4 linked regions of the Astyanax mexicanus genome follow. The main gene of each other region encodes a partner of the protein of the gene in region 3 in a complex. Links are inferred from orthologs where the notes say so. Each region holds a gene or a part of one and is shown on either strand. Other genes may lie near its edges.

Region 1 (7,653 bases), on a different chromosome or scaffold from region 3:
ATACATACAAATATACTTAACATTATGACTAGCATTAGCACCTGGCAATTTATGGTATATCAGTATTAATGAGTATCAGGTATATTGTCAAACAATGCTTAATGAACATCAGGAGACAAAAATTCAATCTGTATAGAATGAATATACATTAATTACATGCCTTTGTTTTTGACCACTTGCGTTTGTGAAACTGTTAATAGTTTTTCTTTCATGAATACCTTAATTTTGTATCAGTTATGAAAAAAATATGGTTTAATACAGTTATTTAGTTTTAATGAGACAGGTATTGGACATTTATAAACCAGCTTCTCACCTGAGTGTTATGCATTTTTTCATTTTGGGTAGTACAGTGCTTTTGGCAGCTTGAGAATAAGTCTCCTTTTATATGCTCATCTAAAACGAAGAGTACTTTAAAACAACTAAAATACTGGATATTGAAAAATATAAGAAAGCATCATATAATTTATTCAATCTTAAAATCTATAAAACAGAGATAGTAAAACAGATCAAAATAATAAATCTTTCCACAAATTCTGAGAAAACTTCTGAATGACTTCAGAACTCAGTACTAACCTTGTTTTGGTTAAAGCATTGCTGTTGAAAGCAAGTCCTACAAATATGATGCTAGAAACCTGAATGGAATGGCACCACAAGGTGGCTGTGCTTGTGTGTATAGGGACCTTGAAAGGTCTGTCAGCACTACGAAATACAGTCTTGTCTTTAATCCTTTGCCAGACTGCCTGCCCACCTGCACCGACTAAAAGATACATCAACACACCAAGAGTGTGCTGTGAGTGTGCAAAAAACACAACTAATAGCTTGTGTGTGTCCTTACCTTGACTGCACCACTGTTGGCTTCAATATAGATGACATCACCAACCTCCACCCTCTCCTTCTGTAGACTCTCATAGATACTAGGATCAAGCTATGGCACAGAGAAATAGAGCACATGGTATATACACAAATATTATCTCTCACATTACCACAAAGATGTGTTTTAGATTTAATTTTTACCTTCAGCTGTTTAGTTCCTTTTCCTGTTTTCAGGCCGATGATGACATGACTGATAGTCTTCCCATAGCCACCCATTGGATTTTCTGTCTCACATGGCGTTAATTCAGTCACCTCACCTTCATACACTTCTTTAGTCTCCTTAATTCGCAGACCTGCACAGACCACACACACAATGTAACAATGTAAAATATTGGTGTGGCAGTTGGATGTTCTGGAGCAAAGTGTGTTGGTAACACAGTAACCAATTTTTTTTTCTGCATATTGCCTACTGGTGTTCAGTAACTCTCTCTCAATATGAGTGAGCCAAAAGCAAAGGGCAAATGTCAAGGGCATGTTGACAGCAGTATAATGGACTCTCTATGGCCTCGTACAGCATGCCTCTCTCCCCCTTTAAGATTATTTACGCCATTTCCTCTCTTATGACAGGTTATATCAACAGACAGATATTGTTGTATCTGTAAGTGTTAGGAGCATTTTTTACACAAATAATATTACCATAACAATTTCCAAATCTCTTATTTGAATTTGCAGGTTGTATCAATATTCTTGAAAACTTAAATCCATTCAGTGACTGGGGTGGACAGAAATGTCAGGTATGAAAACTGTAGCCTACAAAATAAAAGCCCAATGGCTTTACATAAAACAACATTTATCACTCACTTTAGACTGCATTTTTAATGAGTTTAATCATATTTAGTGTTATTCACTTATTACCTATGTAGTACATTGTATTAAACAATTTACAAATAATACTGTATTCTCATATTTCCTATTAGTTCTACATCAAGTTTTCACTCAGAGCATTTCTTCTCCAGCATTCTGCATAACTTGTGAAAGTAGATGTATTATTATGGGGACTCACCAATAGCCCTTCTGAAGTTCTCCATCAATACTTCCGTCTTTTTGATTTCAGATGAATACACTTCACTGCCCACCATCGGACAGAATGGCACCTTATTTCCCAACTCCTGGGCCATGGCCAGGGCAAGAGCAGTCTGACGGGCATAAACAGGTGATTATACACACTACCACTAAACTACTACTCGTCAACCTTAGTTGCATCAACATTGGTCTTTATGCAAAGCCACTGGTTTGTATTGCCTACCTTTCCAGTTCCAGGTGGCCCTGCAAGTAAGACAGCTCGGCCAGCCATCTTTTTGGAACGAATCAGCTCCACAATGATGCCGCATGCCTGGAAAAAATAGGACCATTGGGAACATTTAGCTGCAGTTATTTAGTAAGCCTCTCAGAAGAAGAGGTTGTCAGCAGATATACTGCAATCTGCAGATATTTAAATATAAACTAGCAATTCACAAGTATTAACATAGCTAACTATAATCTGTCTCTCGTAGATATATAATAGGAAAGGTAATACCCTGATGTGCCATATTACCCACCCCTAATTACCACAATATTTCAGGGTATAATATTGTTTACAATATTAAAAAACGATATGACACTCCCCTAATTTTAGCTATTTAATTATTTAGTACATAAGGTATGTTAGCTAGGTTATCTAGGCTACAGTGAGCAAAACGCTGGGACAGTAGACCTGACTAAAGTTTTGTTTTGAGTACAATAGGAGCATATAAATACCAGTTTTGTCTTTAATTAAATTTCTGAAAACACCTAAAAAAATACCGACATTACTAAAAAAAATCATTCTGACTAAACGAATAAAATACCGATAAAGTTCCGATATTATCGTGCACCTTTAGTTACACTAGCTACAGACGCAGGTGTCACACACATTAGTTAGCACGCTAGCCTAATTCTCACACACACACACACACACACACACACACACACACACACACACACACACACACACACACACACTGTGCTCTAGTTCATTGCAAGTCGTCGGTTTTCCTAATCAAATGATATTTTAGTTAGTAAGCTACTTAGGTAGCTAGAAAGTAAGTCAGCTCACATATTCCCCATTAGTTGGTTAGGTTAGCTAGCTTAGCTCTCCTAGCCATGTTAATTAGTTACCTCTCTGGCGGCCTCCTGTCCAACCAGGCCGGACGCGGTCTGCTTAGCATTGCCGGCGTCGTCCAAGCCAAGGCCTTTCACGTGGCTGTGCGAGGCGATGCGCTGGGTCTTCGTCGTGCTCTTCACCTCCTCGATCTTCATGGCTCTTTTCTGTGATTATCAAAGCTCGAGTAGAAGCTCTCTCCGTGCCCAGCAGCGCTCTTCTGCTTCGCCGTTGAAATCGGCGCGACTGCAAACACGGGGGACCGCGTTTCCATGCGGGTAACCAAGGAGATTCGGGAAGTCACCGCCCCTGCTAACATGTCTAGCTTCTTTCTTTATCGCTATTGGTTAAGAGTCTTCCGATCTGCTCGCTCATTGGTCAACACCGATGTTCATCAGAAGCGTTGAAGAACTAACGTTGAAGAACGTTAGCTGGCCCTTTCCGTTGGTGGGCGAGTTTAAAGATCCGTCTAGAAACAGAAGCTAAGCTAACTATAACTGTGCGCTGCGTGCTTTAGCTAGCTAACGTAAGATGTTTCACTGCAGGTTAACTTAAGTTATATATAAATTTTGTTTAATTTTTTTATTATTATTTTATAAATGTTGGGGATTCTGCATTGTTTTTTGTCTTACAGCATATTTTAGTTTTAGCATCGTTTGAATTTATCTAAGTCCTCAGTCAAGATGTTTTTGCATAAAAGTGCAGTCTTGTGGATTTATACGTAGCTAAACAGAGCTATCTTGTTTTTGGTACTATTTTATTTTATTTACTTACTTGTATTATATTATAACTTTACTTGCAGTAGGTCAGCAGCAGCTCATATAGCTTAGCTAGTCAGCTAGCTAACACTATCCACTACCTACGTTTGGGTCCCATTCCCTGAGACATGTTCCGTAGGTGGAGGTAGTGTTTTTTAGGCGACGCAGGAAGTGTAGTTAGCGTATCTGTCAAACGATATGATATGGCGCACTGTCTGTATAGGAGGGAGTTGATTCGAGTTGGTTCAGTTTGAAATTACTCGTTTTTGACATCTGAGAGGTGCTTGAGTTAAACTGCATCCAGCTAACTTACAAGATCTGTGTTTTTCAGCAGCACAACTTTTTTTTGGTGTGAATTAAGCTGAAAGTGCACAGTCATCTTAGATCAAAGTCCACTGCTTCCCTATTGTGTCTCGTTCGGATCCTGTCTTTAATTCTTCCACACATGGCAGATCCGAGCGCTAACGCTGGGGACGGCCTCCTCCCCCAGATTCTGAACTTTAATGTGGGTGTCCTGGGCCATGTGGACAGCGGGAAGACGTCTCTAGCCAGGGCTCTGAGCAGCACCGCCTCCACCGCTGCCTTCGACAAGAACCCGCAGTCCAAAGAGAGAGGCATCACCCTGGATCTGGGCTTTAGCGCCTTCACCGTCCCTTTACCGTACCACCTTAGAGAGGCCTGCGGGGAGAGAGCGTACCACAGCCTGCAGTTCACACTGGTGGACTGTCCGGGGCATGCCTCACTCATACGGACCATAATTGGAGGTGAGATATAAACAGTAGGTTAGGAATTAGGTATTTATTAAAGACAGAAAAAGTTTGCATCAGTGGTTATATTTGACTGATATTCAAACCTATATTTTGACTCATTAAGGGGACACTAAACAGTTGTCATACAATATCTAGATTTTTTATTTAAACTGCATTTGTACCTTTTTGCAAGTAATCCTTATTTTTCTGAATTGCGATAGATGGCAAGCTATATACACCCACATGCTCGCTGATTCTACAACTGCAAACTTGAACTACAGATCATATCACAGAAAACAGGAAAGAAAGTTTCATTCAACTGTTCGTCCAGAGCCCACTCAAGTTCATGTAACCATGCAGTTCCAGGTAATATCAGGAGGTGGCAGAGTTACTTTTGATATATTGTAATTATAACATGATATATTAGTAGTTTGAGATTTTTATTTTATAGATCTGTATTCAAGTTTAGAGGGGTTGTCAGATAAGCTGGTTTCCCTGTATCCATATTCAACCTGTTTCAGGGGCCCTGTGGTTACAGAGGAGAAGGGAGGGGTGTTCAGGGGGAAGTAGAATATTCTGAGGTCTTGCTTACCTAAATGCATTTAGAGAAAGGTGGAATAGAGGGAGGTGGAAGTGAGAGGAGAAGGTTGAGACAATTTACGAGGATGTAGTGTGTTTCGGGGGGCACATGTGGTTGATTAAGGCGGAAGGCTGGTGTTTAAGGTTCCAGCTAAACTTCCTCACTCCCCCTGCGGGAAGACTCAGTAAAGAATGTGTGTCAGGAAGAAAAAGGAAAGACACACTCACTCTCTCTCTCGCGCTCTCTCTCGCTCTCTCTCTCTCTCTCTCTCGCTCTCTCTCTGCATATAAAGTACTTGATCTTGTCTTAAATATGTGCTTGTGTGTGTTTGTGTGTTTTTAGGTGCTCAGATTATTGATCTGATGCTGTTAGTGGTTGATGTGGTAAAGGGCATGCAGACACAGACTGCAGAGTGTCTCCTGATTGGTCAGCTCACCTGCTCCAGGATGATTGTCATTCTTAATAAAATTGACCTGTTGCCTAGTGACAAGAAACAGAGTGCCATCGATAAGATGACAAAGAGGATGCACAAAACTTTGGAGAACACAAGGTGAGCTACAGCAGACACACAGTCTCCCATATTGTCAGTTCAAACTTAGGGAAAACAATGTGTATAGTATCATAATGTCTTTTTATATTGTATCTTGTAATGGGAAACTCGAATGCCCTTCATAATATACACTTGAGTAAGCACACCTTACAAATAAAGGACACGGGAAAAGACTTTACATTCCATATTATTCCATATCATGCAGCAAATATGGTTAAGAGATACTGTGACAAAGAAAGAAGGAGCTTAGTTGATTACCTCAGAAAGATATACTAATATTTTAAGATGGTTAAATAAAAAACATTTAACAAAATTAACTAATTAACATAGCATGAGGTAAATTCAACAGTAGAGCAGCAGTGGTTACATTTTAGTAGTGATTATACTTTTTATTAATGCTACAAATGTATATGAAAAAAAGTTTGTATTTTGTTATTGAGCTCAGCCTTACATGCATTTTACCAAAGCTATGCCATGTGTCAGTAAACATATGCATAATGCTTCAGAAAACATTTGCCTTATTAAATCTGCATGCTTCTCAGATTTTTGAATAATGGCTTTTTTTTGTGTGTGGTTAGGTTTAAAGGTTGCCCTGTCATTGCTGTGGCAGCAAAGCCAGGGGGTCCGGATGCTCCAGACACGGAGGAAGGACAGGGAATTACTGAGCTTATAGAGGTTAGATTATTACATTTGGTTTGGTTTTGTTGATTTGCATTTTTGTTATACTTTTGAATTCAGTATGATTATGCAACCTATTATTTTAAATGCCTTGACTAACTTAAGTCTGGTGTATTGGGACCTGGGCTGATGTGAACCCCTTATTAATGGACTGTGTCACATTTTATACATTATGAGGTTTGTGTGTTTGTGTTTAGTTGCTAAAGACTCAGGCTTTCCTGCCTAAGAGAGATCCATCTGGTTCCCTGCTTATGGCTGTGGATCACTGTTTCTCCATCCGTGGACAGGGAACAGTCATTACAGGCACCATTCTACAGGGGGCGCTGCGCGTCAATGACACACTGGAGATACCTGCACTTAAGGTACACAAGCACATGCTGCACATTTATGTTATGAGGACACATGCATCAATGTTTATTATTTAGCCTGCAGGAAAGTCTCTCGAAAACGCTGTATGGGGGCTTATTTTTAATAAATTATTAATACAATACCCCTTCTGATAAATCTCTGCCAAATTGTATGATTTTTCTTATATCTTGTATGAAATGATTTTGAATACAGTGCTATTGACTAAGAAATATACCACATTATTCTACAATTGAGTTCAGCTGTCCAGACACACATTTTGAATTTTAAATGTACAATGTGTTTTGTTTTGTTATTGTTATTGCCTTATCTACTGTTCTTCATAGGTCACCCGGAAGGTGAAGTCAGTACAGATGTTTCGTAAGCCAGTTCCTAGTGCGATACAAGGAGACCGGGTTGGTGTGTGTGTGACACAGTTTGACCCAAAACTGCTGGAACGTGGTGTGGTGTGCACACCTGGCTCCCTGCGAACTCTTTATGCTGCCATAATTTCTGTGCATAAGATTGAATACTACCGTGGTGCACTTAGCAGCCGTTCAAAGTTCCACATCACCGTTGGACATGGAACAGTCATGGCACGTGTGTCATTCTTCAGTAGGGTGTCTCGCAGCATCCCGTCTGGAGCCTCAGATGGAAGTCCCTCAGAGCAGGGCATGGACTCTTTCTCCTTTGAGTGGGAGTTTCATCACCAGGAGGAGTTTTTGAGCAGTCCGGGAGAAACTGAGGGGAAGGAACCACAGCAGTGGGCGTTACTGGAGTTTGAGCAGCCAGTAACATGTCCACCACTTTCTTTGGTGATTGGCTCACGGCTGGACTCTGACATACACGCTAACACATGTAGGCTTGCATTTCATGGAAAGCTTTTGGAGGGCTTTGAGGACAAGAACTACACAGAGACTACATTACCGAAACTCAAAATAAGCAAAGACAAGCATAAAGAGGGAGCAGTGGAACGGGTAACAATCTTTTACCCAACACAG
Region 2 (8,116 bases), on a different chromosome or scaffold from region 3:
AGTTTGTAAACCACTGTAGGCCTGGTCAGTTCAAGCATCCTAACATGTTTCACAAGGCCTGGTTCACCAAGCCCAAACCACATCAAAAACAACACCTTCACTATTCACTCAAGACCTCTTCTCAGCTTGCTCCAATACTAAAATCAGCAAAAAGTTTTCTATGAAGGTCATCAGTTCTATCTATGCTGCCTATTTGAATGTGGGGACGCCCGAGAGTCGAGCTTGATGAAAGGCAGGTGAGACTGTAGGCGGATTTGAGTCCATCTGGGCACTGGGCCAAAGGCCTCTGTGCACAATGCATGCCGGATAGGTTCAGCGTTGAACGGTCTCTGAACTCACATGGATTCATTTAAAGCAGTAGTTCGTACAAGCGAAGATAAACAATGGCAAAGATGAAACTGGAGCATTTCAGAATCTTAAATCTCTTGTCGAACAATTATTACTGGAGCCCAACTGTGCACAGAGCCGTGACACGAAGTCTCTTCTTCCACGAGACTGTTTTAAAAGTCTGACTGCTTTAAGAGTTTGTTTAGAGCTTTCTGAGGAGAGCCTGGCTGCATTTCTAATAAGTTAATTGCGGCAGAAAACCACAAATCAGGCGGAAGGCCCTGTCTCTTTGTCTGTCTATTATTCTCTTAGTCTGGTATTTCTATAACGCACGCTAGAGCCAGAACTTGCGGCTGCCTGGGACGCAAAGCATATTGGTTAATGATTATTTATACCGTCCAGCTATCCTTGTCCTGAGCCTGAGTGTATATTTACAGGCCACCAAAGTGAGACTCTTAATTCTTACTCCACTTACTCATATGAGGGTCTGCTCATGGTCATATAATAAAAATACATCAGATGCCTTGTTCTGTGCACCAGATTTTATAGTGACACAATTAGGAAAATAAATAAATCAATCGACCTGCATCGTTGCTTACTCTTATACTCTTACAGGATTCTACAAAAAGATAATCAAGGTGCGAACGCTTTCTTTTTTTTTTTTTTAGCTCATCAACAACATCATGTGGGAGTCTTTACAGGCAAGCGACAACCAAATGAGTCTCCTCTGCCTGGCCTGCAAAACAAATAAACCAGCCCTGCACTGATTACACACAGTCAAACATTTTACTGAGTGGCTAACAAGCGAAGACAACCATCAAACAGTTCACATCTGGTGAACGACAGTTCAAAGGCAACTGTGGCAACTGTGTCAAACATAGTTCTGGAAAGTTTGGAAAGACTTACTCAGGACCACCAAATGTATCTGACAGGAATCTATTACAATAAGTGAACTCTGCCATCAATCACTACAATGGACCAACAGCCTGTCTGGAAGTATTTCTTTTTGCACCAACTGATTTCACCTAGACAACCCGTTACCATAATCAGTCACAAATGACATATCCTCCATAGCGAAACATTAAATCTAAACAACTGTATGCACTCATTTACTTTACCAGCCTTAAGATTCTCCTCTATATACACACACCTCTGTATTTGCACTTTCGTCTTGTGTCTCTTGTCTCATGTATGTCTATATCTGTGACCTTGTTATATTGTACGTTAAATGTCTATCATTTCATTTTTTATTATTTATAATTTTTACTTTGCTGTACCTGCAGTAACTTGGGGAAGGAGGGTAAAGTAATTTCAATCCCCTGTATGTCCTGTACATATGCAGTATTGATAATAAAACTACCTGACTTGACTAGTCTTTATAATGTTCTAATATTTTGTGTATATATATCCAAGAGAATCAAAACACCGTGTGTTAACATATATTTGTAGAGACACCAGGATGAGCAGGACTACAGTCTACAAACTTTTGGTCGTGTGTGTACACACCAGCACTGCAAGTGGAAGGCAGCAGGGCAGTGATCGCAGCAGAGGAGATCCCCTCCTTCCCGACAACTATCGCAAGTGTCGTGGTTGGTGGCCCGGCCGGATCTCCTGGTGCTCCTGTCCAGCTTTCGACTCCTCTTCTCCGAGTCCTCGGACTTGGGCGGTGCGAGCAGAGTCTGGATTTGCTGAAACGGAGGAGAGAGGCATGTTTAGCGGGGTTTGGGCGCGATCGAGCCGCAGCACTTCTGAGCAGCTCTGAGCCAACCATCCAGCGCTAAAAACCCGCTCAGAGCCCAAACTAAACTGTCTGCTGCGTATGATTTGATTAAAAACGAAGTTTTCGAGAGGGACAGGCAGACGAACATCTTAGTAGTGTGATAGCTGAGCTATGAGAGGGAGAACCGTCATGGTAGCGGGGAAAAAAATAAAACCATATTATGGCGTCCACCCTGCTCGGGTTGAATCGAGACGTGTCAGCCATTGTTGGGCCCAAAAACACAGGCTAGCGGGTAGCAGCTAGCGGATGATAACACTAGCTAGCCTAGGGAACATTAACCATGAATGTAGCTACTTATCATTAAATAAACCAATAAACCAAGAGTGATGGCACGCTTTTTAAACAGAGATATAAATGAAAAATACAGCGAAATAGCTTAGCAAGATTAGCTAACTAGCTAACCGCTGGCTAACCTAAGATGTTAGGGTGACGGCTAAGCTAGCTAGCTAATGATTAGACTACAGCAGCTAGCTAACGTTAGATACGAGCTGAGCTAAGCTAACCTAGCTAGCAGCCGGGCAATCCCTAGTACACTGTAAGAAAAAAACAAAGATACAAGAAGCCACACTCTTCAATTTTCTGCAGCTTTTAAGCCACCCTGCTTACCTCCATCAGCCCACCGGAGGTGTCCAGGTCGTACACGATTGTCGGGGTCTCCATTTTATCCCACATTCAAACAAGTCGAGGTTAATGAGCGTTTGGATAGGCTAGGCTAAGCTAGTTAAGCTAGCTAGGTTATCTAACCTAGCGCTAGCTTACCCAGCCAGCTCAGTCCAGAAAGAAAATGCAGTCCAGCTCAGTTATAGCCGGACAATCCCCTCAAAAAGTTTCTAAAAATTCCGTCCAAGCGCTTAGTAAACGCTATAGGTATCCACAGAAAGAAACAGACCCACACGTCTCTCTTCTTAAGTCTCTTCAATGCCAATGTTGTGCTAACAGCAGCCCGAGCTCATCAGCTTCTTAGCTTTCCAGCGTTTCAGCTTCTCAGCTCCAGTCCCGCAGCCACGCAAAGAAATCACCACACACTCCAAATTGTGTATTTCCAAGCAGGTAAACACAGGAAAACTCCTAAAACAGCGCCGAGCAGCAGGAGAAGCTCTGCCCGGAGTCAAACCCCGAGAAATCCTACAGCCGCGGGCCTAACTGAGGCCTTCAGCCAGCGCGCTGCCCGCTCCTCCTCCTCTGACCGCGGCCAGCAAAGATGCGGGATAAAGGCGCCACAGCGGCCGCTTCCATCACTGCGAGAACACCGTGCGGCCCCAACCGGGGGACAGAAACCAGACCGCGGCTCTAAGCACAGCCTGCCAGCAGCAGAACGGTGCCGGAGATAACGGGCGAGATCATTGTTATCATGTGTGAAAGCAAACCCGACGACAACGGCGACATCCTCCACACAAGCGACGTCCGATTCGCAAGCGAGTCGTTCATTTGAACCAAATCTTTTCAATAAAAGCGGGGCGAGTCGATTCCTTACGAAGCCCCAAAGATGGAAAAATAATATTTTGAGTCTTAAAACCTAAATTTTCCCTGAATTTGGAATGGATACTTTAATTATACTGATGGAATAATTTATTTTAAGTCTTTAAAAAGTATTTTTCTGTGTTCTGTGTACAATCTCGATTTGATTTGGAACTGAATCAAACTATTATAGCTATATTATGTATGCTATATAGTTTAACTTACATAGTAAACAGTAATTGTAATTCAAATGTAAATAAAAACATTCATAAATAAAATAAATACAATATTATAAAGCAATAATATAGTAAGAATAAAATAATATTCAGATACTTTTTTGTGATCAATTTTTATTTGAGTTTATTCATTAATCAAACACATTGCATTTTTACATGTTTACGTCCGTGTTTTAGTATTCAGACTTATTTATATTAATATAAATCATACAATAATATATATATATATATATATATATATATATATATATATATATATATATATATATATATATATATATTATTATATATATAATATATTTATTTACGTGTAGTTTTAACCGTGTAGATTCGAAAAATAAACATGAACGGAACGAATCGTTGACAGTAAGGTTTGATTCATTCGGTTCATTGAACCAAGCAACTAGAAAGAATCGGTTCCTTAAACTGAATCGACCTCCCCGTCCCCGTTTGGCGCAAAACTTGCGTGGAACCGCCTTTCTGCGCATGCGCCGTCGCCCAGCCGCCTCGGAGCCATCTTGGAGGAGGTTGAGCGCTGGCTGCGTTTAGGAGGCATTTTCTGAACTGCTCGGTCTCCGCTGTCGCGCTGCTGTTTACCGGGTTTAAACTCAGCGTTATGGTGTAGTTTATCGGTGTGTTAGGGACAGTGTGAGCTGTAGTAGTCCCGGCTGTAGCTCTGCAGGGTGTGTGTTTGTCGCTGTGCTGTAGTTTTCCGTTATTCGGCGGGTTTTGTTAGTAACGGGTCTCTGTGTTCAGCCGCTGCCAAAACAAATACACAGATTAAAGTCATTTAAGGTCGTCTGATATCTCACCCTGGAGTATATATATCTATATTTACCGCGGATTTCCGACCTTATTATTAATGCTCTTTTACAGCGAGGAGACCCGCCGGTTTAGCCGCCGGTACAATAAATCGTTTCTAATTGATCATTATTGCGATTCTGCATACAAATTATGTTAATATTAGCAGCTAATATTAGTAAGAATGCCTAATAATGTTATAGTCACAGAAATGTAATTTTTGTTGTGCTTAATTCAGTCAAAATGTCATACAAAGTAATATATCTGACTATTTATTACCATTAAATATAAATTGAATGGAAGTAAATATTACCAATAAATATGTAATTTGAAATTTTGGGTGCCTAATTTAGTCAAAAGTTCAATAAAAAGTAGTAAAAAATATAAAACATGGTCTTTGTAATTATTTATATAAGTATTGCTTTATTATGCAAATTAGCAGACTTTACTATTGTTTTTAAGTTAAGTGCACATCACTTTTTAATTACATTTCTGTGTTATTAGTTTATTATGAAATTACGACAAGGCACCACAATGTCGATATGCAGACTTCTGTTTTAGGGTGTATGAAACTACAATAAATTATGACAGTAATAAAAGATATGAAGGTGTCTAAGGGATTTAGGGTTTCCAACATTTTTGCTTTTTTTTATACTTTAACACTTTATGCATATTGACTCTTATTTTATGGACATATCTGACCATTTATTACCATTAAATATAAAGGTTACTTTTGTGATGCTTAATTCAGTCAAAAGTGTAAGAAGAAGTAGTAAGTATATAAAAAAATGTTCTTTATAATTATCAATATAATAAGAGATGAAGGCAGTGTAAAAAGGTTTTATTCCAAATAAATTCATCATGAAAAATGGCCGTGATGTAGAGAACAAATTATGTAAATAAATAACACAGGACAGACATATAAAGATAAAAGAAGTTCTTTTTGAACCCACATCAAGCTTACACAGGGATTACTGCGCCACATGAGTCATCACAATTATCATAATGCACAGAAACATAATCCGAACATTTTATTTATATTGGACAGATATTTTTCACTCTCTTTTTAGTGTCTTAATTTTTTTTTCATATACTGTACAGATCAGTGTCTTTCAACCCAATAAAGCATCATGATAGCTTAATTAAGCTAGTTATGACTAATTATTTTACTATTATTATTTTATATAATATTAATAACTTCCCATTAATCACTGCATTGAATATTGACATTTAATATTCTGTAAGTATACCCTATTAGTTTTGATATTCCTGTTATAACAGCTCAGTCCTCTTGAGGGCAGTCTTTTAAAAAGAACCATGCAACTGCTGCTTTTCACCTCCCAAAGAGTCCATACTTCAGATATAACATCTTTATATCACTTCAGGAAACACAATATTGATCAAAACATTGTTTTTTCTGATGTTTTTAAAGTTGAAAAAAAAAAGAAGAAATATAGCAACAGATTTGGACACCTAGTATCTTCTCTAAGTAAGGTTTTTGCTTTATTCAGAGTATCATGATGATACTTTATTGCATTAATTAATTGTGGATTATTAAAGCCTTCTGTTGTTATGTACAGTTGTTTGACGTTTTTTAAAGAGGTAATGGAGCCAAAATGACAAATGTAACCGTCACGATTTCATTTGCAAACAGGCCTATTAACCTCCTGCTGTGGAGCCACAATAGTCTCTAACGCCTCTGTAGAGTTTCCAGCTGAAAAGAAAAATCACACTTCTAATAATGTGTGTATGTTTAAAGGTGTTTGAAAACTGCAGGCACTGTCTCACTGATTTTGCTATTTATAGGTTTATGTTTGAGTAAAATGAACATTCTTGTTTTTATTCTATATACCACAGACAACATTTCTCCCAAATTCCAAATAAAATAGTGTAATTTAGAGCATTTATTTGCAGAAAATGAGAAATGGCTGAAATAACAAAAAAAGATGCAGAGCTTTCAGACCTCAAATAATGCAAAGAAAACAAGTTCACGAGTATCTATAGTACATATAAGCTATATATAAGCTGTGATGTAATATTCTAGGCTGCAGTCGAGGAATAGGGGGCTGGTCTTGGAATGACATTAGATAGAACATTGGAATAAGATAACAGAGCAACATAATCTTTGTTTTCATGCAATTTTGCCCAGTTTTTGTGGTGCTGTTCCTTCCGTTTCTCCTTGATGTGTGCAGTAAATTGTGGGTAACCGAGAGCCAGGAAGGATACATCAGTTGCCTCCTTCAAATCAATTGAAACATTGGCTGCATTTGTAGCTTGGCAAGCAGCCTATATCTACTAAATTCTCACTATAAGTCAGACTGTGACTTACCGAATTCTTATAATTACATCATTACATCAAAATCCGTATATATACACTGCTCTGGAAAAAAATTAAGGGACCACTTGAAAATTATGAGTTTTTGATTTAATTTTACCAAATTAAAAAAACCTCTGGAATATAATCCAGAGAAAGATGGATGATCAAAAGCCATCAGACCAAACTGAACTGCTTGAATATTTGCACAAGGAGTGGCTTAAGGTTATCCAAAAGCAATGTGTAAGACTGGTGGAGGAGAACATGCAAAGATGCATGAAAGCTGTGATTAAAAAACAGGATTATTCCACTAAATATTGATTCTTAACTCACTTATGTTTTCTTTGCATTATTTGAGGTCTGAAAGCTCTGCATCTTTTTTTTTCATTTTGGCTATTTCTCATTTTATCACTATTATAACTCTACTTACCTGTTTTTCCAGCTTTTTCTTCACAGATGATTTGCAAGAAAGACACAAAGCGTCTGGGTTTGGAACAGTCAGTTTATTTACAAAGTGTTTAGGAAAGAGAACCCCCATGCAGACATTCAATGGTGCCAATGTTGTAAATAGACTGAGTGAGGATGGTATTAACACTGGTCTCAGAGTGTCGCTGTGGCTCAGTTAGATAACCCTGGCCTGGACACTCATTCACTCTCAGGTCCAGAGCACATCCATCTCCTGTGGATGCAGACCCTGAAAAGCACTCTGATAGATATTGTCCCTCTTATGTTTCTGTACACACACTTTCTGTGCTCATTTGAAAGAAAAAAAGAAGAAGAAAAGAAAAGGTAGAAGTTGCTGAAGCGCTACAAAAATAACGTTATATTGTCCACCATGTTTCCAGTGTTTACACAGGTCCTCTGGAGGAAAAATATACTGTACAGGAGCTCAGAGGAAGGTGGGAAAGAGGATAGGAACTCATGGAGAGGAAGAGGAGGAGGAAGAAGAGGAGCTGTCACAGGAGAGGAGGAAGAAGAAGAGGAGGAGTGTAGAAGATGGACAGCCACTGCTGAACAGCCTCTAAATAGACACCTCATACTGTCTCGTCTCCTGCAACGATAAACACAGCCGTCAGAGACTTTTCGAACACTCTGGAACGTTCTTTATCAAAGTAGATTAGACAAGTAAAGTGGGGCCTATAGTTAAACCTGAAACACTGTTTGTCAAAAGTTTGTAGACACCTGCTGAAACTAGGTTTA
Region 3 (8,227 bases):
CTAAATAATCTAAATAAAAGAAGTGAAATCAATGTTTATACTTTGTTTAAAACTATATGTAAGTGTAGGAGGTATGACAAAAAAAAAAGAGTGTCTTAATGTGAACTGAATGTTTAACATTAATACAAATACGTTTTCTGCCGTTCTTAGCTGGCGCCATAAGAAACTTACTGATTTGCCTTCTGAAGCTCTTTCTGTTTCTGCAGATTACTGTCCACATATTTGAGCACACGGCTTTCAGGAACCCATTCGTCCCAGCTTTAAAAAACAGGACAAATTTATAAAGCACTTTATACTTATTAAATAAAATGCATTATTATTTTATTAATAAATAAACAATATTTTAACAATCAATCTGCTAATACTGCAGCAGAATCTCTTATTGACATCAAAACAAACACGAGAATACTTACTTCTTATTCCATCCACTATAATGAATGAAGTATTTCACTTGTTTGTCCTTAATATTGATTTTTACACACTGTAAAAGAGAGGATCAATAAGGTAAATCTTTTCCACACAAACTTCAAGCACATGGCTAAACAGGCTAAACAGATTTACTGACATGATCAACACTTGGGGTGCAGCACCCGGAAATATCGGTGCTGTAGAGATATTCAGGACAGGGTCTGTGTTGGTGCTCAGCTTAGTTTGGTTTGATCCCACCTGAAATCTGTTATTGCCCGGCCCACACCACAGGATAATCTGACCAATTTTCTCTGATCTTTTGATCTTTTCCCAGAAAAGTTGGGGCTGTGCCAATCGTGAGGCATAAGTGGCAAACATTTTTTGTATTTATGACTCAATAACCTTTAGAGTGAGGATGATGATGATGATTGTCTGGTGGGAAACGTGAAGACTGTCAACCAAGAGAGCTGAGATTATAGACTACATAGGTTGGACTTAAATTGTGTTAACCTACTGTTTTAAGCAGGAAGCACTGACAAATTGTTTTGCTGTTATCCACTTCTGTGTGGTGCTTTTATTCGGGGTGGATCATGTAGTGTGAGAAGGTTTACAACTAACATTGATTAAAGACAAAAGACTGGTGAAAGATTGTGTGAAGATCCTATAGTCTAGTCTGGGCCAGGCATTACATTTACAATTAGCAGCTTAATTAAATGTGTTTGAGCAAGAAAAACAACAAACTGTGCTGTAGACCAGCCCACAAACACTGTTTAATTCTGCTACGACAGTAAATGGTGTATTTGGTCACATACAATTTGTTGCATTCAATCTATCTATTCAGATTTTCCGAAGAAAAATAATATAAAGAAAAAGTTACCTTAGCTTCGTATAGCAATGGCCCATGAAAACACAGCACTCGTTCACCTGAAATAAAGGCACAAAAAAGCAAGACAACATTAGGCCAGGTCATGCCACCCTTACTGCATTTTCTTTTAACAACTTTTTTTTTGCAGCCTTTAACAGGTTTTTCTTCAGGATTGTTGTGTGTTCTGCCACATATAGCATTTTGCATTTAATCCAAAAAGTTCAACGTTGGTCTCAGCTGAACAGAGCACATTTGCTCTCACAATTCCACATTTGCTTGCTGTGTCTTCTATGGGACTTCTTTTGGTTTCCTCAAAAAAATTGCTTTTTTCTGCCTACTTTTCCATAAGGGAGCTGTGAAATCTCTGCAGCTCCTCCAGAGTGACCATGGGGCTCTTATCTCTAATTAGCGCTCTTCTTGCCAGGACAGCCATGTCTTGGTAGGTTTGCAACTGTGCCACATTACTTCCATTTTTGGATGATGGATTTAACAGTGGGCTATCTAATCTTTCTTAAACTACCATGTGTCACTAGTGTTCTCTAACAAACATATGAGGCCTTCACAAAATAGCTGTAGCTTAAGTAAACTGAGAATACATTTCCCAAATAACAAACCTAATAGCTAGCTAATTAGGTTGGACTTCCAGTTTGTACCATTTCTTCATTATACAATTAATTGAAAGGATTTGCCATTTTTTATTTATCATAACCCATATACTCAGCTCTACCGCTTGTCCCACAAACGCATGTTCGTAACAAACGTCGCAACACATTTGGAAATGAACAGGCTTTTATTGCCAAGACTGCTATTGTGCTATTTTTAGCTTATAACTAACTACCATGTTGTTAAACATCTTCAAAACAAATAAAGGAATTTACTAACATATGGAGAAACTTATTTTATAACTAAGAATCTCTAACACATATTTGAAACATTAAGTCCATAAGCATGTACATTGCAAGGACTGTAATGAATTTTGTGTAATAGCATTTCCATGTGAAAACATCTTATCTTCATACTTGGAGTAAAAATATTATGCTATTCTATAATAAATTACAGATTTATCATCTAAGAATTCATTAATGTCAGTATTCCACACATTTTCAAGCTTGGTTTGTGATGTTTTAGGAAGCTTGGAAAGCCTTGTAAAAACAAAATAGCTTACATGATATTTTGCTAATGTAATTAGCTTTAAAGCGACATAATATTATGTTAAGGCAAGCTAAGCTATTCTATTAGAGTTTAGTTGGTGGCTGAAGCAGCAGCAGCAGCAGCAGTAGTAGTAGTAGTGGATCAGGGGGAGAGCTGATTGGCTAACGCTAGCTATAGGTCATATTCACACAGAGAGACAACCCGCCTTATTTCCCAGAGGCTTTCATCTAAACCCGAAACACCGCAGATACCAGACAGACCCGCGGCCCTGCTGATAACCCTGTCCGCTCCCCGGACCCCAGTCCTCTGATCCCTGAGAGCCGCGGTTCTCTCCGGGTCTGTGTTTGTGTTTCAGCTCCTCTCAGCGCCATTGTGCGACTCTCTCCATTAGCACAAACAAAAGCACAGCCCCCCGCAGCAGCAGCAGCGCCCCGCACGGCGCGCCCCGCAGCGCTCTTACCTTCTTGAAATTTAGGTTTAGGGTCCTGTTTAGGCGCCATTCACAGATTAAACAATAAAAATATCTGGAAAATCAAATCCAGGCATCGCCAGCTCCGGGTTCATTCAGACACGGTGAAGGCGCCGCACTACGGCTCTCTGTTGACGCGTTATTTTGGCGCCCTGGACATGTGACCTAACAGGAACAAGGATCTGCACCGATTCAGAGCGTGTTCCGGGTTCATCTCACCGCCAGAGGGCGCTCCCCACTCAGCCCAATGGTTTGCTGGTCATATATGCTTCTTATTTTTATTTCTTGTTTACAGTATATATAAACATAAAATTCAAGTAAAGTTTAATACAAACCATAAATATAAACCCCAATGTTGAATCAATGTAATAGGACAATACAGTCCAACAGCCTAAAATAGACACAATAATAGGTCAAATACACATCCTGTACAATCAGCATCACAAGTACATCAAAACAAAAACACAAATAAACAAACAAAGCAAAAAAGAAAAGAAAAGAAAAGTGGGATTCAAATAAAATATCGATGGATTTATGATTTTTTTTTTAATTAGTCGAAAATTAGTCAGTGAGTGTATATAATTATTTAGATATGAATAAACAAAAGTTTGGAATAATGGTATCATTTTAGCAAATTAAAAAGTACCTTAAATGGTCAGCTCAACAAAGGATAAACAGTCGTTTTATTTTGACTTTTATTATATGTTCTCAATAATAAAATAAAATAACTGCTATATTAAACCTTGCTACTCGGTTAATGCTATTTTGTGTATTTTTATATATATAAGTGAGGAGTTTTTTGTAAAGGAGCCACATTTAGTCCATTAAACACTTTTTTTCTTGTGTATTGTCTTGCTCTTTTTTAAGACTTGAAGAGGAGGTTGGGTAAGGAAATTCCTCTTAAATTCCAGTATATATTGTATTTTTTTGATGACCCTTCATCTGACTACAAGTATAGTAAATTTAATTATAAGTTTAGGTACATTTTTATACACAAACGAATATTCGCTAAAAAGATACCCTTATTCCAAACATTAGTTTATTCGGGTTTTTTATGTATTGTTTAAAAAAAAAAAAATGCATAAGATATATTTTCTCTAAAAATATAAAAACAGTTAAGAAAGAGAGTATATTGACTTTGTTCAATGCATTCTTATACATTTTTATACTGAAAATGGTCCTTTAAAATGTTCAAATGTTCTGGGCATTTTAAAATCTGCTCTAACTGTATTTCCATATTTCCAGCACCAGCTCATCAACCAGTCTGCACTCAGTAGCAGTAATGCTAATTATTCAGGTCTTTACTGTCTGAAACTACTTGATAATATTAAAGCGATGTCCTGGACAAGTGATTAGTTACTATTTTTCATTTATTTGAGTTTTTAGCTAATTGGCTTCATTGACTCCCTCTAGCGGTGTGCAGTTATTTTGTAAAGTATAACGGAGGACAAGAGCTTTCCATAAACCGATGTTACACCGTTTTCTGTGACCGTCGGGTTTTGTGACCACAGAGGGCGCTACTTCGCAGTTGTAACACCGGCACTGACTTTAAACGCTTGCTGTAAGTACACGCATGCGCCTGTAGATGGACTGGACTGGATGGATTTAACACTGAGAAAGGGACATATAACCAAAAGAGAAGTGCAGGAAAATTTAGAGTGTAAGGAAAATAGACTAAAATGAGAAAAAACATACCAAGTCTAGAGACTTTTTGGTTAACTTATATTATTTTTTCCAGATTAATCAAGCATTTTAACAAAGAACACAGCTTTTTTATATTTATTTTTCATGATAATTCTGTTTCCCTTGCGCATTAAAATACCTGAGATCACTGCCTTTATTGGCTTGAATGTCACAAAACTGTAAATGGCAATTAATAATAACAATAAAAAAATAATTAATGAACAAAAAACTTTTTTTATGTCTTTACTCTAATTAAACTACGAGGCTGAAGACGAGGCTGAAGTTGGTTTGATATTCGCAGCTCCAGATTCGTTTGGCTCGATATTCGCAGCTTCGTATTCCCCGGCTGAAGTTGATTTGATATTCGCAGCTGCCGCTTCACTGAACCACCGTGAACTAAAGGGAGCGTTCACAAACACCCGCTGTTTATATTAAACACCTCACAGATCAACACTGAAGGAGATGAAGAAATGAAGAAAAGCAGTACATCTGTTTATTAACAACGGAAATATACAATATATTATTAAATATAATTTTGTATATTGTAAAATATTTATTTTAATTACTGAATTTATAATTATATATTACAATAAATAATTAAATATATATTTAATAAAATTATATTTTAAAAGCCATTGCGCTCAAAAAATATGAGGCAGATGTTCAAGTGTGATTTTGAAGAACTTTTTCATGTTGGGCCAGAACAAATACACATGATCTGAAGAGTACTAGTCTTCTACTTTAAGAAAAACCTGGAATTAGACTGGCCCAAGCTGATTTTATACTTTAAAATGAACTGGCAAACTTTGAAAGACTTTTTCATCTTGGGCCAGAACACATACACATCAGATGAAGAGAACTACTTTCCCACTTTGAGGAAAACCTGGAATTAGCCTGGCCCGAGCTGATTTTATACTTTAAAATGAACTGGCAACATAGCATACCAATCCATAATGCACAATTTTTTATGTAAAGCTGATGTTCCAGTGTGATTTTGAAGGACTTTTTCATCTTGGGCCAGACCAAATACACATGATCTGAAGAGTACTAGTCTTCTTCTTTAAGGAAAACCTGGAATTAGCCTGGCCCGAGCTGATTTTATACTTTAAAATGAACTGGCAACATGGTATAACGAGCCATAATGCACAATTTTTTTTATGTAAAGCTGATGTTCTAGTGTGATTTTGAAAGACTTTTTCATCTTGGGCCAGACCAAAAATACACATGATCTGAAGAGTACTAGTCTTCTTCTTTAAGGAAAACCTGGAATTAGCCTGGCCCGAGCTGATTTTATACTTTAAAATGAACTGGCAACATGGAATACCGATCCATAATGCACAATTTTTTTTATGTAAAGCTGATGTTCTAGTGTGATTTTGAAGGACTTTTTCATCTTGGGCCAGACCAAATACACATGATCTGAAGAGTACTAGTCTTCTACTTTAAGGAAAACCTGGAATTAGCCTGGCCCAAGCTGATTTTATACTTTAAAATGAACTGGCAACATGGTATAACGAGCCATAATGCACAATTTTTTTATATGTAAAGCTGATGTTCTAGTGTGATTTTGAAAGACTTTGTCATCTTGGGCCAGACCAAATACACATGATCTGAAGAGTACTAGTCTTCTTCTTTAAGGAAAACCTGGAATTAGCCTGGCCCAAGCTGATTTTATACTTTAAAATGAACTGGCAACATGGTATAACGAGCCATAATGCACAATTTGTTTTATGTAAAGCTGATGTTCTAGTGTGATTTTGAAAGACTTTTTCATCTTGGGCCAGACCAAATACACATGATCTGAAGAGTACTAGTCTTCTACTTTAAGGAACACCTGGAATTAGCCTGGCCCAAGCTGATTTTATACTTTAAAATGAACTGGCAACATGGTATAACGAGCCATAATGCACATTTTTTTTTATGTAAAGCTGATGTTCTAGTGTGATTTTGAAAGACTTTTTCATCTTGGCCCAACATGAAAAAGTCCTTCAAAATCACACTAGAACATCAGCTTTACATAAAAAAAACTGTGCATTATGGATCGGTATGCTATGTTGCCAGTTCATTTTAAAGTATAAAATCAGCTCGGGCCAGGCTAATTGCAGGTTTTCCTTAAAGTAGAAGACTAGTACTCTTCAGATTATGTGTATTTGTTCTGACCCAAGATTAAAAAGTCCATCAAAATCACACTAGAACATCAGCTTTATATTCAATTTTTTTGTGCATTATGGATCGTTATTCCATGTTGCCAGTTCATTTTAAAGTATAAAATCAGCTCGGGCCAGGCTAATTCCAGGTTTTCGTTAAAGTAGAAGACTAGTACTCTTCAGATCATGTGTATTTGGTCTGGCCCAAGATGAAAAAGTCTTTCAAAATCACACTGGAACATCAGCTTTACATAAAAAATTGTGCTTTATGGATCGGTATTCCATGTTGGCAGTTCATTTTAAAGTATAAAATCAGCTTGGGCCAGGCTAATTCCAGGTTTTTCTTACAGTAGAAGACTAGTACTCTTCAGATCATGTGTATTTGTTCTGGCCCAACATGAAAAAGTTCTTCAAAATCACACTTGAACATCTGCCTCATATTTTTTGAGCGCAATGGCTTTTAAAATATAATTTTATTAAATATATATTTTTATTACTTATTATAATATATAATTATAAATTCAGTAATTAAAATAAATATTTTACAATATACAATTGGCTCCGGACAGGATAATGCCAGGTTTTCTTGAAAGTAGGAGGCTAAATCTCTATTTCAGATATTTTTTACTCAGGAAATGAATGAATTACACTAGAAAAGCAAATTCATGTTGTAAGTAAAACTGGAGAAAATAAGTGATGAAAGGTCGTGTATATAAAATTATATTTAATAATATATTGTATATTTCCATTGTTAATAAACAGATGTACTGCTTTTCTTCATTCTATCTCCTTCAGTGTTGATCTGTGAGGTGTTTAATATAAACAGCGGGTGTTTGTGAACGCTCCCTTTAGTTCACGGTGGTTCAGTGAAGCGGCAGCTGCGAATATCAAACCAACTTCAGCCGGGGAATACGAGGCTGCGAATATCGAGCCAAACGAATCTGGAGCTGCGAATATCAAACCAACTTCAGCCTCGTAATTAAACTTTATCCTAACACAGTGATATAGTATATCCAAAAGCCCACCTACACTTATGCTAGGAGCATGTTCTAATATGCTGCGTTTTAAATATTTTTATTATAAATCATACGGTGCCTGAACACTGGAGACATATCTGCTATAAAAATCGTCATATATTATCTCCCCTCGCTTGCTCTACCATTTAAAATCCACATCATTTAAATTATGCTAAGAATCAGCAGATTTAACGCTTTCAAATCTCTTTCATAGTGATAAACATCATAGCTTAACATAATTTTACTTACGATTTTTAGTGCAGGATCTCCACTTGTAACTGAATATATATCTACTGTATGGTATAAGCACTTTCACTTATTTGAAGATGGTGAACAAAGTTTCCACCTCTGCTGCCAACAAGCAAAATAACATCACATACTTTAATTATACAACACAACAGCTTATTTTTATATTTCTTATATTGTCATACAATGAAAATCTCATACCACTGGAACCCTAATGGTGGTATGTGAGCAAGTCCTGATT
Region 4 (8,101 bases), on a different chromosome or scaffold from region 3:
CCCAACTTACAGTAAAGCAGAAAGGGAATTCCCTTTCTGGGTAAAATTTACGGGGATCTTTGGTTCAAAATCTAAATCTAAGGTAAGAAGATGTTGTATCTGGAGAGGACATAAAATAAGTGTTGCTATAAAATAAGGATGGACTTTCCTCAAACCCAACAGAAACAATGGCATTTAGAAAATGATATATCTGTTGGCCCATCAGAATTCCCCATGAGATCAAGAGGTATTTTTTTCATTGGCTGTGGTGGATCATGCAGTATAATTCCTGCCTTTGTTAAAAAGAATGTGGTCTGCTGAAAGAGAGGCCTTGTCCTTGGTGAACAAGGACGCAGTGTTGATTTGAACAAACATTGCTTGTCTCCCACTTTTCATTCACACATTCACATTCAAGGAAAAAAAAAAGTATTCCATTTCCCTAAACTCACGAAAGAACACACTATCCTAAACAAAGTTTACACATCCTGTACGGCGCACAATGGCCGCCGGTATGAGTCCTGACTATTTTATTAGCTTTTTGTTATATTAGGCCTTTCTCAAATAGAGCTATGAGCCATGCGGTGCTCATCCAGGTTTGGTTACATTTGCAGTGTGCAGATGCAGAGCGAAAAACACCTAGAGGGTGCTGGGTTTGAAAGGGCAGAGCGGTGTGGCGTGCAGTTTCTGCGTATGTCATACCCAGAAAGATTGTTATCGGTCATACATGTTTGTTTATTTGTTTGCCTTTTTAAAGCTCATTTGCATGTGCAGCGATCAGTCATAGCATTAGCACCACCTGTTTAATGCTGAATAAGTCGCCCTTGTGCCAGCTTAACAGATCTGACCATTACAATGGCCTCTAAAAAAGTTCTGTTATCTTGGCAGCAGATCCTTTAAGTCAGCATGCCTGTATGTTATGAGGTGGGGTCTCAGTGAGCTATAGGTGTGCATGACCCTATCATCAGATTATTGCATGTCCTCTCTCAGACCACTTTTGATGGGTAAACTGACCACTGCATACCATTGATATTTTTGTAAGATTTGACCCAGTGGTTTAACTCTTTTTTCATTTTCTCGTTTTCTTAACCCTGGTCAATGAGGCTCACTGTATTGCAAATTTTAATGTTTTTTCTGCTTTAACATACACACACTCTAACTTAATAATGGGCTGTTCAGTGATTATTTGGATCTGGAAGCACTAAAAAACCAAAAAGTGCAGGGGAGTGAGTCACCATAAATAGTGTCAAGAAATACTGGTCTAGCCAACACAACGTGTCCCATGTCACAGTTGCTCAGATCTTTATGCTTACCCATTTTTCCTGTTTTAACGCATTTCCTTCATTGATTTGGTTGATGTATTCCACAGCTCAGTTCACATGACAAACATTATGCAGCTCAATGAGCAGTTAAATGAATGAACTCAGCTGAATAACAGCTGGAAATGTTCTCTGCTGTTTGTCAGAAAGGTGTAAACAAGGCCATCAACTCATATCAGTTCAACTCAATCAGTTCTTGGCTGTACCTCAAGGAAATTTAGGGCACTTTTAAATCTGCAGTAACCAAATGCTGCAGGAAGGGAGTGTAGAGGACTAGAATGAGACACCCCACACTAAAGCCTTGCAGACTTCACATGCACACAATAATGAAGAGCACAGAACTGCAAATGTTTCAACTGCTAAAGTTTCCCCAAACATGAATCTGTGCCTATTGCTTAATGTTCCTAGAACATTTTAAAGGTATATTAAGAGCAGGAAACCATAGGACTATATTCACTGACTCACTGTGAAACCTCTGGATAAGACATTGCTGCTGCTTTGTTGTTATGAGTATATTATTAACACTGCTTTGAAATGATCTGAAATCACAGTGAATGAATCAGGCTTATTGAAGTTTACTCTTTAACATTTGTTGTAGTGTGGAGTTTGATCTATCTTCCCACGCAGCAGCTTGTATAACTAAGGTGTGTCAGACTCGTGCACACAAGAATGAAGAAGAAGTCTCGACTCGTTTTCATTTATGTAAAGATATGCAGGGAGTGCTGTAGGTATGTGCCAGCAACGAACCAATTAAAATGCTCCAAAGACCAAAAGATCAGACTGAAACGAGTCTATAAGGAACTCCAGCTGTACATTCTATTTTTCTAGAACAATGTACTTAAATTATCTTGAATTAAACTTTTAGAAGCTCTGCCATTGTAGGGTTAAAATGTTCTATTTATCTTGTCCTTTGTGGAGAAAAGGCAGTTTCGGTTTTCCTGGTAGAAAGCCTGAGATTGTCTGTTCCCACAAAAACAGAGAGCTTTGTCCTCAAAGGGACGTATTTGGTTACTTATCACTTTGAAGTCTCCTCCCCACATTCCTCCCCACGCTCTCCCTCCCTCTCTCTGTCTCTTTTTCTTGCTCTTTCTCTGCAGAACATCTGCTAGAACCACGGAAACAAAGCCTTCCTCACATCAAAAAATTTACTGGAATCAAGGACAGAAATAAAACAGAAAAAAACTGTTGTTTTAAACATTAGAAAAGTTTACTCTGAGGCAGAGTTTTATGAATGAAGGCCTTTGTTTTGGTTTCATCCAGGGTGGTCTGTCTGAACCCTGGGCCTTGAGTGTCTCAACAGGCCCCCAGTTACATAGCTGTGAGATGGAGTGGGCGATGATCTCACTGGTCGGGTATGTGTTGTTGCTGCTGTTGCTGATGGTGAAGTACAGGGAGGCCTATTACACCCCCACCCGCATCTCCCCTCTCCCCTCTAATAACAGGACTGGAATCCAGACCACATGCTCTGAAGTGAGTGAGGAGGAAATAGAAAGAGCATGACTTGTACTGTTTCATCCCATCATGCATCAGATCAAAAGGTGGGCCTGTGACATATGTGGTATATATGGTTGTGTAACATTCAGCACTCATCTTCAATGTCACATTCACACCCGTAATAGGACATTAGGCACAGTTTTTTATTTAGCTAGAGTTGACCACACTATCAGGATATGATGATGTGGGAGGAGACTGTGGGAGGAGACTGTAAGAGGGACAGAGCAGGAGGCAGGAAGGCCAGACCCCTTCTGATAAGTGGAGCTAGGACTGAGAAAAATGACTAAGCTGAAGGGATGAGAGAGGCTGGTGGTTGGGATAACCTTTTTTTAGTTGATTTTTTTTCACGTCACTTCTTTTTTTATATTAAAATGTGTGGCATTAATAACAAAATATAGGTATGCACCAAATATTAGGCAACCGAAAATATCCAACTAAAAATGGCAAAAACAAGCACTTTTTATTTAAGTCAATTTATTATTATAAATAAAACTGCTTGGTTAATATTTTGCACATTGTTGGTTTGTCTTCTGAGACATTTACTTGTAATGATAATATAATAATAATAATAATAATAATAATAATAATAATAATAATAATAATAATAATAATAAAGAAAAAGAAGGACAATTAACAGTGTTAAATTGGCATGAAATAAATATAATAAAAATAAAATGTATACAAATAACACATAATTTTACTACTGGTGCACCATCTGGGAGACTGGGGTTCAATTCCCGGTCTGGGTGACTATTCTGTGCTACACCAAGAGGAGTCCTTGGACAATACCTCTAACACTGGGTTGTAGAAGGACTAACCTTGTAAGTCGCTCTATAATACAAATAAAAAAGTAATTTCTGATAAAACTCAGTCAAGTGATATAGTAATGAAACAATTATAATAAGGAATGCAAAGATTAACTATTATTAATGTATAAAAGTGAACTCTTCAATTTTCATCACTCACATTTATAATACATAAATGATGCAGAATATGCCACCTCTGAATGATCTACTTTGTCATTTACAATTACCCGTATTTCCTGCTTCCTTCCTTCCTGCCCAAAAACAGCATTAATCAAAACAAAGGAGACAGGTGTTTATTATTTATCATCTTTAATCTCCTGGACTGCTGAAATGAAGGGATGGGACACTGACGTCAGCCTGTGGTTTGACGTACCATAAAGTCTACTGGTGAAGGAGTGGAACATTCCTACTGATGCACAGTCATAGTGGCAGTGTGTTTTGTTGCTGCCAAAACACTGCTGTGAATGACTGCGTCATGAGTTTACATAAACATAATTGTGAAGAATTACTTTTGGTCCATTAGTCAAAAAATGTTTACATATAAAATATAATGACTGCTGCCTTTTTCAAGTGTATAAAATTGTAATAATAATTGACATGACAGTACTGATATGCAGTGCGTCATTCTGTCTCATTTAGGAAGGTTCTGCAACATGAAGATGATGAGATACAGGGTTTTTTCAAAAGATTTCTTCATAGTCTGTCTCAAGTTAGAGAACAGAATTGCTTCATGCTTCCCTCTGTGACACAAGTTGTACAGCATACATGGCATACCTAATGTATGTTATTTAAACACAAATTCACAACATCTCCACATTTAAAAGTATTTAGGATACTATGGTTTGCAAAGAAAGTTCAAAAACTGTTTTTTTTTTTGTTTAACACATTCTTTTCTTTTATCTTTTTAGGGCAGATTATCTGGTCGGTGAAGTCAAAAGGATGGCATCTCACGTAAGGGCTTCATGCCAAGGCACGCTGAGATTTAGGGCTAACATACTTTTCTTCTGTACATTGTGTCCCTGCCTAAATAACTCTGACTCATGAATGGCTGGCTGCAACCAGCTATTGTCTATCCAGCTGTAAAATGCTACATAGATTAGTCAAACAATCACTGGCCTTCCATGAACATCATCATTAGACAATGTAAAAATTGTAAAAAGACTGGACCAAATCCTGATCATACAGGATTACTTTCCCAGGCAGGGATTAAGCTTAGTCTTGTAATACACAGCATATTCTGTTTAGATCTAGACTAGGGGAAAGAGCCCCACAATGTTTAAACAAAGCAGAGCTTATCCTGAAGTCAGTGAAGTTTGATGCAAATATTTTCAAAGAATTCTATAAGAACAATATAAGCACAGCTAATGCTTTATGGACTGGTTTGAATATCAAAATTTGCTTTCTGTGAACAGATTAACATGTAGGCAAACATGAGGATTTTCTGATAGCCAAAGTTAAATAGATGTTACTAGAAAACTGTATGCTTACCAGTTTAGATCAGCCTATCCCTTACTTTATCTTTACAGTCAATGTCTGGACGTTTTAGCTGCCAGACATTTTTGCCATTTTTAAAGGTTTTTTTTAGAATGTAAGCTATTGTGTTGCAGTGTATTGTATTGAATGCAACTTGTCTAGCAGGAAATGTTTAGCTACACCCTTAAAACAAACAATACCAGGTTGTAGGCTCGATACCTGGATTTGTCTCACTGTTGAGCAAGGCTCTTAAGTGGCCACTGCTCCCTGGGCACCTCCCCATCGCTCCAGGCATATGTTCTCACAAAACATGTATGTGTCTTTGAAGTGTATTCACTAGTGAGTATGTATCTGTTCATTGCACACACTAGTTGCAGTAAATAATACATAAACATTTTATACTTTTACCTGACATCCAGTCTAAAAACAATATGTATAGTGTTTATGACTTGATATTTCATCATATAGTAGGCTACAAATGTTTTTACAGGAGCTGTTTACTTATTATTGTAACTGTTGTGCTATTTATTACATGGTCTTGCATGAATAGACATGCTATATTGTCTGACAAAAACGTTTGGTTTTTGCTCAGTAGATAAGGGTTCAGTACAATTGATTTTTCATCAGCAACTCTTTACCACAAACACCAATACTAGCTCTACCAATACAAACTCTTTTTATTGGCTGTGGAAACACAGTTCAGCTTGAGGAACATACACCTCTGTCAGAAGTCTGCCAAAACCTATTTGAGGACTAATAGTGCCTAAGTTAGAGTTGTTATGCATAGGTTCTCTAGGTTTAAAGGTAAAATTAATCTTTGAGTTTTCATTTTAGGATCTATCAGGGAGTTCAAGTCAAGTCAATAGTCTTTTGTTGCCGTTTCATCCGAGTCCAAGTACACAGTGCAATGAAATTACGTTCCTCTGGAACCATGGTGCAACATGGAACAAACAGTACAATATAGACAACAAAGTGCAAACTTGCAGCAAATTGTGTAACATAGAACTAGAGTTCTCAGCATGCTCAGTTGCATTCTTTCTGTTCCTTGGGTCGTTTAGGTTTTTTGTGATTATTTGTATTTATTTTTATTTTATTTGTGGTGGTTGCAATGGTGGAGCATTTTTCACCCTGCTGGTGTTAGTGTTAGGGGTGAATAAGGGTCTCTATCAGTGGGCTGCCATTTTTAAAAGAAATATTTCAATAAAGTTGCTGGGACTATGGAGCTATGGTTTAGCCTTGTTACTTTGACCCTTCCCACACTGATGCTACAATACATTGTGCAGGTCAAGAGCTGGTAAACCAGCTAGCATACCAGTATAGCAAATCTTACTCAGCCGTATAAACAGCCAAATATAAGCAAAGTTAACTCGTGTGAAACACTGTGTGTGTGTGTGTGTGTTTGAAAGGCAAACACTGAGCTTTGCTGCTGTAATCTGATGGAAATGTAAATCATTTTAGATATAAAGTTCATGGAAATCATTAAAGTAGTTAATGTGATAAACCCTGCTTGCAGATAACCTCTAACATTCCTCCTTCCCCTACACCCGACTGGCGCCACAGATTTGAATGAATAGGTATAGGAATTAATCTAACCCTTGGTTATTATGGAATGTATAATGATGTTTTTATATATAAAAAATAATTGTAGTAAAAAGTAGTCATTCTTCATCAGGACACTGCTTACAGGACGCTGCTGGCTGGATATTCCTAGTTAGCGGATTATTCTCAGTCCAGCAGTGACACTGAGGGGTTTAAAAGCTCCAGCAGCACTGCTGTGTCTGATCCACTCATACCATCACAATCCACACTACCAACACATCTCCACCTTGCTAGTATCACTGCAGTGCTGGGAATGACCCGCCACCCATATAATAATAGCTGGTCTGTGGTGGTTTATCCTCTGGGGTCTTGACCATTGAAGAACAGGAGTAAAACAGGATAATAGAGAAACGGAAGAACTACTGTTTGTGATTTATAGGACTACACAGTCCTCGTATGTGGTAAATCAAGCTAATGAAATAGACAAAGCATGTAGAAACATGGAGGTGGTGTTAATAAAGTTACTGTTAAGTTTGAATTGAAAACTTTATTTAATGATAATTCTCTATGTTTTATTTAAGGACATCTAGAAGTGTGTACATATACGCTTTTAATTATAAAATGAAACCACACTTCCTAGCAGACGTATACTACTGCCATTCTCTCCGGTTAAAAATAGTTGCAATGTGGTTCAGTGACACAATAATTCAGCATTAACATGTCACACAACGTGCAGTTTACTGTATACACTACATCATGAGGATGACTCTGTAAACAGTGGAGCTGTGAACACTATGGAAAAATACAGATAGCAAAGCAGTTAAACTGCCAAGCAGGTGCACACACACTCACACACTCTGATATACACACCTGCAGTTCTGCTTATTATATTGAGAGCATAGACAAACACAAGGCAAATACACGCCTTTTCATTGGAACTATTCATTTGAATGCAGAGAGGTTGATAGAGAACACATGGTAAACATTGCTGTGGATATACTTCACAGTGTATTAAACCATAGTTGGTATAAGTTGGTGTGTCCTTCTTTGTCTTAGTAATAACTTTAATAAAACAGCCTAGATTAGTGTGGTGGGTGTGGCTCTAATACTTGCTGGCGTGTTCTCTGAAATACTTTATTTGTCTTTACAATATGTTCTGCGTCATTTTGTCTTCTTCTGCCTTTTTCCGGTCTAGTTTCATTCATTAGGATTTCAGACAATGGACCATATAGATGTTTAAAAGGAAACACTTCAGTAACATTTCAACTAACCATGACAAAACCATGATTTTTAGCTATTCCTGTCTCTTTTATCTGCCTGCATATCTTTGTAATTGTGATGTTCCATGTAACTATTTCACTATGGTGGTAATCGTCATTCATTACATTTGTGTTAAATGGCTTGGTGTTCAGAACATGGCTTACCAAAATAGATTTCTTGGTAAAAGAGTCAGGCATATCTCTACAGTGACTGATGATTATAGTAAATGTTTCC

Evidence for each region.
Region 1: morf4l1 (region 3) and ruvbl1 share a complex: the UniProt entries of both Homo sapiens proteins name them as parts of the nuA4 histone acetyltransferase complex. The link is inferred for Astyanax mexicanus from reciprocal best matches to the Homo sapiens genes MORF4L1 and RUVBL1.
Region 2: the proteins of morf4l1 (region 3) and phf12a are in contact, whole or in part, in a cryo-EM structure (PDB 8BPA), measured with the Homo sapiens proteins. The link is inferred for Astyanax mexicanus from reciprocal best matches to the Homo sapiens genes MORF4L1 and PHF12. Residues at the interface, in NP_996670.1 of Homo sapiens: Glu201, Lys204, Pro205, Leu207, Val208, Asp209, Trp211, Asp212, Tyr251, Ala252, Glu255, Val256, Gly259, Ile260, Glu262, Tyr263, Val266, Met267, Thr270, Gln271, Leu272, Leu273, Tyr274, Lys275, Arg278, Pro279, Tyr281, Ala282, Leu285, Arg304; in NP_001028733.1 of Homo sapiens: Cys62, Glu64, Gln81, Cys82, Asn84, Pro86, Pro204, Leu206, Arg207, Arg208, Pro209, Phe210, Leu212, Leu213, Ile214, Ala216, Ala217, Arg220, Asn221, Pro222, Thr223, Gln224, Phe225, Gln226, Leu227, Pro228, Glu230, Leu231, Thr232, Thr330.
Region 4: morf4l1 (region 3) and vps72b share a complex: the UniProt entries of both Homo sapiens proteins name them as parts of the nuA4 histone acetyltransferase complex. The link is inferred for Astyanax mexicanus from reciprocal best matches to the Homo sapiens genes MORF4L1 and VPS72.

The regions. Positions count from the first base shown.
Region 1 is NC_064412.1:16,297,771-16,305,423, forward strand, and holds the start of ruvbl1 (ruvB-like 1), read right to left. Parts: upstream 3,296-7,653; 5' UTR 3,151-3,295; coding exon 3,010-3,150; intron 2,207-3,009; coding exon 2,120-2,206; intron 2,010-2,119; coding exon 1,877-2,009; intron 1,167-1,876; coding exon 1,015-1,166; intron 926-1,014; coding exon 836-925; intron 1-835. Other genes in the region: eefsec (selenocysteine-specific elongation factor), read left to right, coding at 4,196-4,514, 5,422-5,629, 6,208-6,304, 6,505-6,669, 7,000-7,629. UniProt on the Homo sapiens protein: Possesses single-stranded DNA-stimulated ATPase and ATP-dependent DNA helicase (3' to 5') activity; hexamerization is thought to be critical for ATP hydrolysis and adjacent subunits in the ring-like structure contribute to the ATPase activity.
Region 2 is NC_064427.1:4,876,999-4,885,114, forward strand, and holds the start of phf12a (PHD finger protein 12), read right to left. Parts: upstream 3,528-8,116; 5' UTR 2,780-3,527; coding exon 2,714-2,779; intron 2,016-2,713; coding exon 1,834-2,015; intron 1-1,833.
Region 3 is NC_064416.1:24,296,648-24,304,874, reverse strand, and holds the start of morf4l1 (mortality factor 4-like protein 1), read right to left. Parts: upstream 3,071-8,227; 5' UTR 2,926-3,070; coding exon 2,886-2,925; intron 1,333-2,885; coding exon 1,286-1,332; intron 482-1,285; coding exon 414-481; intron 259-413; coding exon 172-258; intron 1-171. UniProt on the Homo sapiens protein: Component of the NuA4 histone acetyltransferase (HAT) complex which is involved in transcriptional activation of select genes principally by acetylation of nucleosomal histones H4 and H2A.
Region 4 is NC_064413.1:39,939,358-39,947,458, forward strand, and holds the start of vps72b (vacuolar protein sorting-associated protein 72 homolog), read right to left. Parts: upstream 3,374-8,101; 5' UTR 1-3,373. UniProt on the Homo sapiens protein: Deposition-and-exchange histone chaperone specific for H2AZ1, specifically chaperones H2AZ1 and deposits it into nucleosomes.